Macaca fascicularis: one gene and its partners. The protein of the gene in region 1 purifies or fractionates together with the protein of each later gene. This does not show direct contact. Links are inferred from orthologs where the notes say so. Each region holds a gene or a part of one and is shown on either strand. Other genes may lie near its edges.

Evidence for each region.
Region 2: the proteins of NASP (region 1) and ASF1B purify together in Homo sapiens (affinity purification with mass spectrometry; 5 studies listed by BioGRID and IntAct, counting the BioPlex papers as one, with this or other methods). This does not show direct contact. The link is inferred for Macaca fascicularis from reciprocal best matches to the Homo sapiens genes NASP and ASF1B.
Region 3: the proteins of NASP (region 1) and HAT1 purify together in Homo sapiens (affinity purification with mass spectrometry; 3 studies listed by BioGRID and IntAct, with this or other methods). This does not show direct contact. The link is inferred for Macaca fascicularis from reciprocal best matches to the Homo sapiens genes NASP and HAT1.

Annotation. Positions count from the first base shown.
Region 1 is NC_088375.1:189,135,943-189,140,020, reverse strand, and holds the start of NASP (nuclear autoantigenic sperm protein), read left to right. Parts: upstream 1-1,228; 5' UTR 1,229-1,330; coding exon of another isoform or gene 1,331-1,389; intron 1,390-4,078. UniProt on the Homo sapiens protein: Component of the histone chaperone network. Binds and stabilizes histone H3-H4 not bound to chromatin to maintain a soluble reservoir and modulate degradation by chaperone-mediated autophagy.
Region 2 is NC_088393.1:14,539,937-14,543,255, reverse strand, and holds the end of ASF1B (histone chaperone ASF1B), read left to right. Parts: intron 1-540; coding exon 541-717; intron 718-1,579; coding exon 1,580-1,786; 3' UTR 1,787-2,738; downstream 2,739-3,319. UniProt on the Homo sapiens protein: Histone chaperone that facilitates histone deposition and histone exchange and removal during nucleosome assembly and disassembly. Cooperates with chromatin assembly factor 1 (CAF-1) to promote replication-dependent chromatin assembly.
Region 3 is NC_088386.1:67,507,602-67,511,249, forward strand, and holds part of HAT1 (histone acetyltransferase type B catalytic subunit), read left to right. Parts: intron 1-1,577; coding exon 1,578-1,757; intron 1,758-2,026; coding exon 2,027-2,148; intron 2,149-2,648; coding exon 2,649-2,753; intron 2,754-3,080; coding exon 3,081-3,187; intron 3,188-3,648. UniProt on the Homo sapiens protein: Histone acetyltransferase that plays a role in different biological processes including cell cycle progression, glucose metabolism, histone production or DNA damage repair. Coordinates histone production and acetylation via H4 promoter binding.

The DNA of each region.
Region 1 (4,078 bases):
CCACCACGCCTGGCTAATTTTCGTATTTTTAGTAGAGACGGGGTTTCACCATGTTGGCCAGGCTGGAACTTTGGCCTATTTATTTTATTTATTTATTATTTATTTATTTTTGAGACAGAGTCTTGCTCTGTTGCCCAGGTTGGAGTGCAGTGGCCAGCTCTCGGCTCACTGCAACTTCTGCCTCCCGGGTTCAAATATTCTCTTGCCTCACGGAGTAGCTGGGATTATAGGCGCCCGCCACCACGCCCGGCTACTTTTTGTATTTTTTAGTAGAGACGGGGTTTCACCATCTTGGCCAGGCTGGTCTTGAACTCTTGACCTCGTGATCCATCAGCCTAGGCCTCTCAAAGTGCTGGGATTACAGGCGTGAGCCACCGCGCCTGGCCCCTTTGCTTATTTTTCTAAGAAACAGACTAACACCGATCTCACTAGTAGCATTGTTAAGATTAAACAAGATAGCTAATAGCTTTAAAGGGTCTAATCACAGTACCCCTACATGTAGTAGTCACTCAGCAAATCATAGCCAGGAGTGGACGAAAAGCGCTGGGAGCATTAAACCAGCCAGATTTGGAGTCTGGGTAGGGCCTAAGACGATGGCATCAGCGGATTGGGCCAGCCAAAGGGGGCGGGTTCAGAGGGAGGAGCCAGCCGCCTTCCGCTGCAGCCCCGAGCTTTGAATCAAGCGCGGTAGTTTCAGCTGTAGCCAATCCTAGAACAAAATCTTCTTGCGTCAGTTGTTGCTGAGGCCCAGATCTCACCCAGATCAGTTCTAGTCGCTGCTGCTAGTACCCGTCCTCGGCTCTTGCGTGTCCGTCCGTTACGACTCAGAGGACGGAGAGAAAGTCTAAGTCACCTTCCTCAGTATCCAGGCCGGAAGGAGACTCTCGGCTACTCGCCCTAAACATGGAGAGCAGCACTGGCTTCCCTGTCTCTGGATGCCGCAGGGGCGTCCTGTCAGGAGTTGTAGTGGCAAGATTCCAGTTCTTATGCGACTTGGTGGAGAAGCAGGAAGTTGCTGTTTATCGGACAAGGCGGGCTAGGGAGGGAAACAACGCCGCGGAGCCATATGGAGAGGGCAGGAGGTGTCCTTAGATAATGGTAGGCCTGCGGCGGACGGTGGGGCGGTGTTGAGTCCTGGCCCTTTAAACCCGAGGGGGAGGACCCGGAAGTGGATGGGCGGGGCGAAGGGCCTTAGTATATAAGAGGGCCCCAGCCGCGCGGGGTCTCTAATCTGCCATTTTCTGTCCCTGAGTGAGTTTCTGGCGTCCCAAATTGCCTGTTTTTCTCACAGGCTCTATTCCGTTCGCTGGTTCGCCACCTCAGGGGAACGATGGCCACTGAGTCCACAGCTACTGCCGCCGTCGCCGCGGAGCTGGTTTCTGCCAACAAGTAAGCGGGACTGGAAAGCTTGAGGCACTGGCCAGTCCGCGGGGAGGGCAAATGGACGGGGGCTCCGGAGAAGGGACAGACCGGTGGGCGGGCGTACTTGCCTTCCCGGGAGCAGCTGTCGCTGTTCGGGAAGGCCCGGTCACTGGAGCAGTCCTCCTCTGGCTTGAGAGCCTCGCGCACCAGCGGTAACGGCGGTCGGCTGGCGCCCCCTGCCCCGCTTTTTGCGGCCGCCATCTTGCCGGGGGCAGCGGCGGCTGTATCCATCGCCTGCCCCTCTTCTTCCTCCCCCGGCCCGGGGCGGTTGGCCGGGAGGCGGGGCCCTGGCGCACGAGTTGGCCTTCACTCCCCTTCTGTCCCCAGCGTGTGCCTCGGGTAGAGTCCCTGGATAACCCAGGAATATAACCAACGGAGATTTGGCGCCAAAAGAAAAAAAAAAACCCCTGCACGAGGAAGGAGGCTGGACCTGAGGGGTCGGGGTGGGCGGGGCCTTGCTGAGGGCGGGGTTTTGCGCGCGAGCGTTCGCTTCCCTTGCCGGCTCTGGAGCAGGGGGCGGGGCCTTGAGGAGGCGGGAAAACTCTATTGTTTGGGGCCGCTGCGGCTCCAGCGGGAGCATTTGGACTATTCTGTGGGACCGGTGAGGCTAGTTCCGCCCCTCACGCCTCGCTCACGTCTTGTGCTGGGAGATAGTTATCGCTCCCCTCGACTCCATGAGCCCCTGCCTGTGGTGGGGAGGATTGTAGTTCTTTAGACTTCGGAGGTGTTGCCTTGTTCGGGGGAACATTATCCGGACGCAAAGCGTCTTCAGGAAGCGCCGTCTGGAGCTCTCACCAGCACTGTTTGGTTGCTAGGTGAATCGGCAGTAGTGTGCACGAAGTGGAGAAGGGCTGGAGGGAAACAAGATAGGATTGCTTTGAAAGCAGCACAATGCCACTCAGGCGTAATCTATTTTTTGAACAGTGGAGGGAAACACTACATGACTTCAAGGAAACAAGTGCTGTTTCCCATACAGTAGGTCTGATTTCCCAATCTTGCCTTATTTTTTTAGTGATCTGGTTCTGTTTTTTTTCTTTTTCTAATCTTGTGCGCTTTAGAGGTTAGCTGCCTTCCCTGTGAACGGAATGGTTGCTGTGAAGTTTTTTAAATTGATATTCTATAGGCTTACACTCTGTCATGATTATGTCTTAGTTTGCTTATAGTTAGAGATTTACTTACATCTTTGCTTACCACCTTTTGTTTTCTCTGCATTCTTGTAGAGCAGTGGTTCTCAAGTCACCCTGACAATCATCTGGGAACTCATGGGAAATATAATTTTAATTTCAAACTCCCATTACCTGCCTCTTTCCCCATTGATTCGATATGAGCAGTATAGATTGGGCTTGAGAGTCGTACTATAGCTGTTATAAAAAGAGCTCCTTTTTATAATGTTTCCTGGATAGCTCTGGCAGTCAGTATTTCACTGACAGGTGTGTGTTTTTGTTTTGTTTTTGCAGACAGGGTCTGGCTCTCACATCCAGGCTAGAGTGCAGTGTTGTGGTCATAGCTCACTGCAACCTCGAACTCCTGGGCTGAAGTGATCCTCCCTAGTAGCTTGGGACTACAGTCGCCACGCCTGGCTAAGTTTTTGTCTTGATGTTGCCCAGGCTGGTCTCAGACTCTTGGGCTCAAGCAATCCTCCCGCCTTGGTCTCCCAAGGTGTTGGGGTTACAGGTGTGAGCCACTGCGCAGGACCAGGTGTGTGTATGTGTTTTTTTATTTTTATTTTTATTTTTTTGAGATAAAAGTATGCAACAAATCTCTCTTGCAGGTCCCCTGTGTCTTGCCAGAGTTAGGTCATTAGTGAACTTAGTCTCAGCTTCCTGGCAGGTTATACGTACAGAAAGTTTATATGTGGCTACAAGAAAGCAAACCATTTAAGTAGTTCCTCACACCATAAATTGAAAGCTAAAACTGAGCAATTATATGTGGGGGGGGGGGTGTGTGTGTGTGTGTGTGTGTGTGTGTGTGTGTGTGTGTGTGTGTGTGTTAGGGGGCAGGGTCTCTGTCACCCAGGCTGGAGTGCAGTGATGCCATCATCGCCCACTGCACCCTCTACCTCCTGGGCTCAAGTGATTTTCCCCCTCCTGAGTAGCTGGGATTACAGGCGCACACCACAAGACCCAGCTGATTCTAGTATTTATTTTATAGAGACGGGTTTCACCATGTTGCCCAAGCTGGTCTCCCAACTCCTAGGCTTAAGGGATCCACCCACCTGGGCCTCTGAAAGTGCTGAGGTTACCGGCGTGAGCCACCAACCCTGGCTGGTATTTTCATTTCATTCCCTCGTTTCCCCATCTAATTAGTGTGAGAGAACAATGAAAGCATGTGCCTCAGTTAAGTAAGTTAGTGGGGACATTTAGAAGTAAAGTTTATAAGGTCCTCATGTTTAAGGGTAGGTTAAAGAAAATGACTTGAATTTAGACTTTAGGTAAGAATGTACATTATACTTCGAGGATAAACATTGAAAGAATAAATATAACTTCCGAACCAGTAGAAAGGAAAAAAAATGGAAGGAGAAATAAACCTCAGTTCAGGTTTTTTAAATTTAGGAAATGGGGATCTTACTGTGTTGCCCAGGCTGGATTCCCAACTCCTAGTCTCAAGCAATCCTTCCACCTCAGCCTTCTGGGTAGCTGGGACTACAGGTATGCAT
Region 2 (3,319 bases), on another chromosome or scaffold:
GTAACAAAAAAAAAAAAAAAAAAAAAAAAAAGGCTGGGGGCGGTGGCTCATGCCTGTAATCCCAACACTTTGGGAGTCCAAGATGGGTGGATCACTTGAGGTCAGGAGTTCAAGACCAGCCTGACCAATATGGCGAAACCCCAACTCTACTGAAACTACAAAAATTAGCCAGGCGTGGTGGTAGGCGCCTGTAATCTCAACTTCTCAGGAGGCTGAGGCAGCAGAATCGCTTGAACCTGTGAGGTGGAGGTTGCAGTGAGCTGAGATCCCACCATTGCACTTCAGCCTGGGCAACAGAGCAAAACTCCATGTAAAAAAAAAAGTCAGCCGGGTGTGGTGGTGTGCGTCTGTAGTCCCAGCTACCTGGGACACTGAGGCAGAATTGCTTGAACCCGAGAGGCAGAGGTTGAAAAAAAGAAAACTGAGGGCAGAGAGCATACTTTTTGCTCAGTAAATACATGTTGCTTGGGAATTTGTTTCTACTAATGACATAGAGGCATGGCTGTGGCACTGCTAAGGCCTAGGATGTGTCTCCCCTAGGCTGATGCCCCCAACCCATCCCTCATCCCAGAGACTGATGCCGTGGGTGTGACCGTAGTCCTCATCACCTGTACCTACCACGGACAGGAGTTCATCCGAGTGGGCTACTATGTCAACAACGAGTACCTCAACCCCGAGCTGCGTGAGAACCCACCCATGAAGCCAGATTTCTCCCAGGTGGGTCCTGTTTCCACTTCCTGCTTCCCACAAGGCCATTCTTTATACTTGGGGGGGAGTTCAGCCATTCAAATTGGGAGTCAAGGTTACTTCTTAAGGTTTTCAAGTAATGTTCAGTTCTTACAGTACTGAGTTAGAATAGGAGAAAAAGGCCTTTGTTTCTCAAAGGCATGTCTTAGAGAATTAAGATTAGATAGGCCTGCCTGGGCAACATAACGAGACCCTGTCCCTACCCCCTCCCCACCTCAGAAAATGAGTGAGACATGGGTGGAGTACTCTACTCTGGATGCTGAGGTGGGAGGATCACTTGAGCCCAGGAGTTTGAAGCTGCAGTGAGCTCAGATCATGCCATTGCATTCTGGCCTGGCTAACAGAGACTGTCCCTTAAAAAAAAAAGATAGGTCCTGGGCCAGGTGCAGTGGCTCACACTTTGTAATCCCAGCACTTTAGGAGACCGAGGCTGTCGGATCACCTGAAGTCAGGAGTTCGAGACCAGCCTGGCCAACATGAAAGCCCGTCTCTACTAAAAATAAGAAAATGAGCCAGGCATGGTGCCATGCACCTGTAGTTCCAGCTACATAGGAAGCTGAGGCAGGAGAATCGCTTGAACCCGGAAGGTGGAGGTTGCAGTGAGACGAGATCACACCATTGCACTCCAGCCTGGGCAAAAAAAGCGAAACTCCGTCTCAAAAAAACAAAAAGATAGGTCCTAGCCCTAAATCATGGTGCACAGGTGTTTTCTGGAGTTCCATATGTGGGTTGCTCTTGCTGGGCTTCAGATGGGTGATTGGGGGTGTCCTGGCTCTATGGGAGCAAGGAGAGGGCATGTCAACAAGGGTTGACGTTCCTCTTTCTGCCCCAGCTCCAGCGGAACATCTTGGCCTCGAACCCCCGGGTGACCCGCTTCCACATCAACTGGGACAACAACACAGACAGGCTGGAGGCCATAGAGACCCAGGACCCCTCCCTGGGCTGCAGCCTCCCACTCAACTGCACTCCTATCAAGGGCCTGGGCCTCCCTGGCTGCATCCCTGGCCTCCTCCCTGAGAACTCCATGGACTGCATCTAACTGCAGGAACCCAGTGTCCCAGCACACCAGGAGGGGCAACCAGGCCTCCCAGCAAGTCCTGCAGGGCCCATCTAGAGGACTTTGGGGGCCATCAGCTGCATCCAGGTCTGTCAAACTCAGCCCCTAGGAAAGAACAGGCCTCGGGACTCCTCTAGTCCTGGCCAGAAGGATGATCTCGCTTTTCTTGTACAGGCCTATAAGAAGCAGGTACTTCAGTTCTAAATTCTTTCTGACTTGTGTTCTTTTCGTCTTCATAAATTCTACCTAAGGCCATTGTGCCACTGTGCACCCCTGAGTACCACTGACCCAAAGCTTTCCGACAGACCTCCCTGGCCTGCCTAGAGGCTTTCTTGGTCAGTGCCCGTCAAGGCTCTGGTCCTGCTGAGCCAAAGGTTCTGTCATTCCTTTCTCTTCCCGTTCACTGAGCAGATCCACTCCAGCTTTCTGGTGTCACAGGCAGGAATCTTGGTTAGTAGGTAGACTTAGATCCCATTTCTGTCCTGCTCCCAGGAAGATTCTTAGGTCCTCTTCAATCCAGCAGCCCCTGGAAAACTCTGCTCCCAGAGGTGTGATCAGCAGGATGCTGAGGAACCATGTTGCCTTTCCTGTCAATCATAGCCACCTTCCTGTTATCTCCTAAATGGATCTGGCTTTTTCTAGTTGGAAGATGGTGTCAGAGGGCCTGCCTGCGCAGTCTGTCTCTGGGTCGGGGTCAGGGACCCTCTGCTTCTGGCAGCCTTAATCTTCTCTCTGCTAGGACCAGGGTGATTTCAAGCCAGGGAAGCAACTGGGACCCTGAAAACCATCCCTCCCCAGCCTGCTCTCCCTCTCTGTGCCCTGGTCCCCTTGCTGCCATGTGGATGCTGTTGTGATTGCTGTTTGTATATTATTAAAATGTTTTTATATTAAAAATGTTTGGTTGGTCTGAAAATTAAAAGCACTTGGTTTAGAATGATTGTTTGTGCTTTTGTCTTGTGTGGACTGAAGCAACTTTGTCCACTCTCCCCCAGAAGTGGTCTCATGACCTGTCCAGTGGGTGGGCTGTCCCATGTCTTCTTCCCAGCTTCCTACTCCAGTCTTAATTGGTTCTACAGTATTCCAGACTGAGGTTCCAGAAGAGGTTTTTGTCAAAATTTAAGCAAACCAGCTGTCCTGCAGATAGATTATAATCAGTGATTTTTCAGACTGCCCTTGACCCACAGGAAGAAATTAACATCGTGATCCCAACACACAAACAGCAATGCTTTTATTAAATTTTACTAAACCTTAACCATGTAACCATCCAGAGGCCGAGTGGTCAGCCATTTTCGCGTAATTCACAGAAAGGCTCTGACTCTCCCTCCCTGGAACCATGGTTGATCTGGGAACATGGGTGCAGACAGCGGCTGGAGAGGGCGTAGGCTGTTCAAGTCTAAGCAGCAGATCGGCTTGCAGTTGAGCCCAGCTAGCCCTTCCGTGTCAGGGTGACCTGACTTCTCCCCTCCCCTGACCCTCTCTTAAGTGCTTCTCAATCAGGAGCAGTTCGGCCCCGCA
Region 3 (3,648 bases), on another chromosome or scaffold:
TCTATAAAATATGCTTAAGATGGCCTCTTCACGTTAGCAATTGCAAGGAAAAATATTTATCAAATAGTACTTTAAAAATAAACAAAAACGGTCCTATGAAATGCAGTTTATTTGATCTCGAGTGTGAATGAGTTGTAAGGACTGATGTACATATTAGAAATAAACTGTTGGGCAAAATGCTGAAGAGCTATATTTTCAATAATAGGTCTTTTTTTATAGCTATAAACAAATTATATATAAATGTTGGTGGTACCAGAGCATTGAAAATAAAACTTGTTTGTGATAAACGTCATCCCTGGTTCTCTATCCTAAAATGTAACTGAATCATAATAAAGTGCTATTCATCTGCAGGTGCATTGCCTCTACTTAGTTAAAAGATGGTTGAAAGGACAGGAATTAGTAGCATGTTGTATTAGCCTTTTGTAGTGTATTTTGTCCTAAGCATCTTAATTTCCCTGTTTTGAATGCTAAGTAGCAAGGGTCTTGGTTTAGAACTAATACCCATCATGCATGTAAACGGTATGAAAGAGCTGCTTAGTAAGTTAACACAAAGTGTTCTTGTGTCAGTCCTTGTGGAAATAGATACAATACAAACATTACAGCTGAACTCACGGCAAACTCCATTAAGTAAAAACCTGGCCTCATTGTTCAGGAAAAAGTTTGAATAGAATACAAGCTCATTTTGTTGAATGTAATGTCAGGCTTTTAGGGACTGTATTGAGGGATAAGGTTTTGTTAAGTTGAGACCAATTCATTAAGTTTTATTGCCTGGTGAGAAGCAGCAATACTTTATTGTAAGACTTCATCAAATATTCATGGTTAAAGAGAAGTAGTAAATGTATTCAATCAAGTGGTCTTTTGGGATTTTGAAAAGGATTATGAAGTCTGCTCAGCTGATAACATTGATAGAGGTTGTTTAACAAGGGTAATTTTAATCTCCAAGTTTAGTTTTGTTGTCCAGTCTTGTCTCTTTTTTACTGTCACAAATCCAGGTCTCTAAGAATTGTGTCACATTCTAAGGATGAAAGAATGATATATCCATTCATATAATTTATGTTATTTCCTAAATAGGTATATTTTAAAATTATCATCTTAGTTTGAGTTTGGCATATGAGGGAATTGTGACCCATCTAGTTGTGAGATTGCTATTCATTTGGTCTGACTCTAGCCTCATCTCACTACCTCTGGTGATCTTTTCATGTCTTGGATAATATGATTTCTTTGACACATATAAAATAATAAGCAGCCTTTTGCCTTGGCCAGTTCAGACTGTCATGAAGGGGTATAGTCAGCATTTTCTACATAACAGAAACGTCCATAGCATTGCCCTTATTATTGTACTTGGTATCAGATTACCTGCCTTCTCTTATTTACTTTTATGTTATGCTTATCTCAGTTTTGTGTGATGTAGTTTGTGCACAGGAAGCTCATCCTTTTCCAGTTCACTGTGTGTTTACTTCTTTAGTTTTCAACCAAAATTTTATAATTTGTGTTGGTTTTGTCAGTTTTAAAGAAAGTAACCATATTCAACTTAAAGTTGAATTTGTTATTGATTTTTTATATCCTTTATTTTTTAGGCAGATGATGTTGAGGGCAAAATTAGACAAATCATTCCACCTGGATTTTGCACAAACACAAATGATTTCCTTTCTTTACTGGAAAAAGAAGTTGATTTCAAGCCATTCGGAACCTTACTTCATACCTACTCAGTTCTCAGTCCAACAGGAGGAGAAAACTTTACCTTTCAGATATATAAGGTAAAGATAAATCTAAATATTTATTGAGTAAAGTTCTTTTTGCCTGAAACCTGTATGTAGTTTTGTTGTCAGTGATTTATTCTAACTGCAGTAAACAAGTTTTAATCAGCATTATAAACAAAGATCTATTTTGTGTGTATGTCTGTGTCTGTGTCCACATCTTAATCTGAGACTTCTAAACATTTTCCCACAGGATAATTTTGTGTTCTGCAGACTTTCACTTACCTTTGTGATGAGTTTCACCTGACTTTTCCTGGCTTTTTCCCTAGGCCGACATGACATGTAGAGGCTTTCGAGAGTATCATGAAAGGCTTCAGACCTTTTTGATGTGGTTTATTGAAACTGCTAGCTTTATTGACGTGGATGATGAAAGATGGCACTACTTTCTAGTGTAAGTACAGTTCTAAAGCAACAGTAGACCTTATTACCTCCACAAAGCCAGCATTTTAATTGTGGCAGCCCAATTATTGGGACAGTATAATGATATTTTTCCCAGGAAAGAAAAACTATTGTTTATGAGGCTTGAGTTTTCCTTCATTATGCTTTGGGAGACCTTGAGAATAGAGCTGAATTAAATGCTGTTGTCCGTTAGGGCCCTGAATGTAGGCTTAAACAGTAAAATGAGCTTTGCCTGTGTTTTCTTTTACTTGCCACCTATTCATCTTTATAATAGGCAAGTGCACTGAAGTGATGTAAAGAGGTCTGATTTATCCAAGTTGCTGCACAGCAATTAAGTGAATTGTACATTCAGAACATAGCAGGTGTACCCATTGGGCCCTCACAGAGTAGCTTGCTGACACTGAAAATTCAGTCAGAGAATGGAAAAGAAAATGGACACTGCATGGGAGCGCGACTGTAATTGACCTGCTTGGCTTTCTGTTTTATCTGCAGATTTGAGAAGTATAATAAGGATGGAGCTACGCTCTTTGCGACCGTAGGCTACATGACAGTCTATAATTACTATGTGTACCCAGACAAAACCCGGCCACGTGTAAGGTAATTGGCAGTATAACACGTGCCTTGTCTTTTATTTCAGCAGAAGGAACTGCTGAAGTTTCCAATACTTGTTATAATAGTGTTGATTTGTTTAAAAAAAAATCACTATTATTCATGGACTATGTACTGATTTATTTCATTGTTCCCTTTGAAACAGTGTAGAAGATTAAACTAATTTTGAGTATCCTGATAATTTTTGGGTATCTCAAAGGTGGATTGAAAAAAGATCACACAAACTTTAAAGTGTTTGTAATACTATAGTGATTTGCAAGTTTTAAACTGGTCATGTTATGATATTTTAATTTTAAAATAATTTCTTTACTGTAGTCAGATGCTGATTTTGACTCCATTTCAAGGTCAAGGCCATGGTGCTCAGCTTCTTGAAACAGTTCATAGATACTACACTGAATTTCCTACAGTTCTTGATATTACAGGTATGTAAAATTTGATTTGTTACTGAAAGAGCCTTTCTAAAAAATGTCTCCTTACTGATTGATTGTATTTTTGTCAGAAATAACTATTTTAAACAACAACATTTTCCTAGGGTGCTTAAGCCATCTAAAGATGGCTTAAGTTTATGTTTTAAATCATAAGGCTTTGTGGGGATTGGATTACATCCCTAACTGTGAAGTGCTTAATGGAACAAATTGAAGATAATGAGCGGAATATATATGGGGAAATCTTGGTCAGGCATAAATATGTTGAAAGTATGGTATAACTTATTTGTTCACTTTATTTGGCAAACAGTTGCATTATTTAGAGGCAGCCTGCGCTTTAATTTACATGTAGGGTCAGAATATTCTAAACTTTACTGAGAAAAAAAGTCAAGGTAAATACTTCTTAAATAGAATACACATTTCCTAAAGTGTGTGTTTTGTATTCCTAAAATACATGC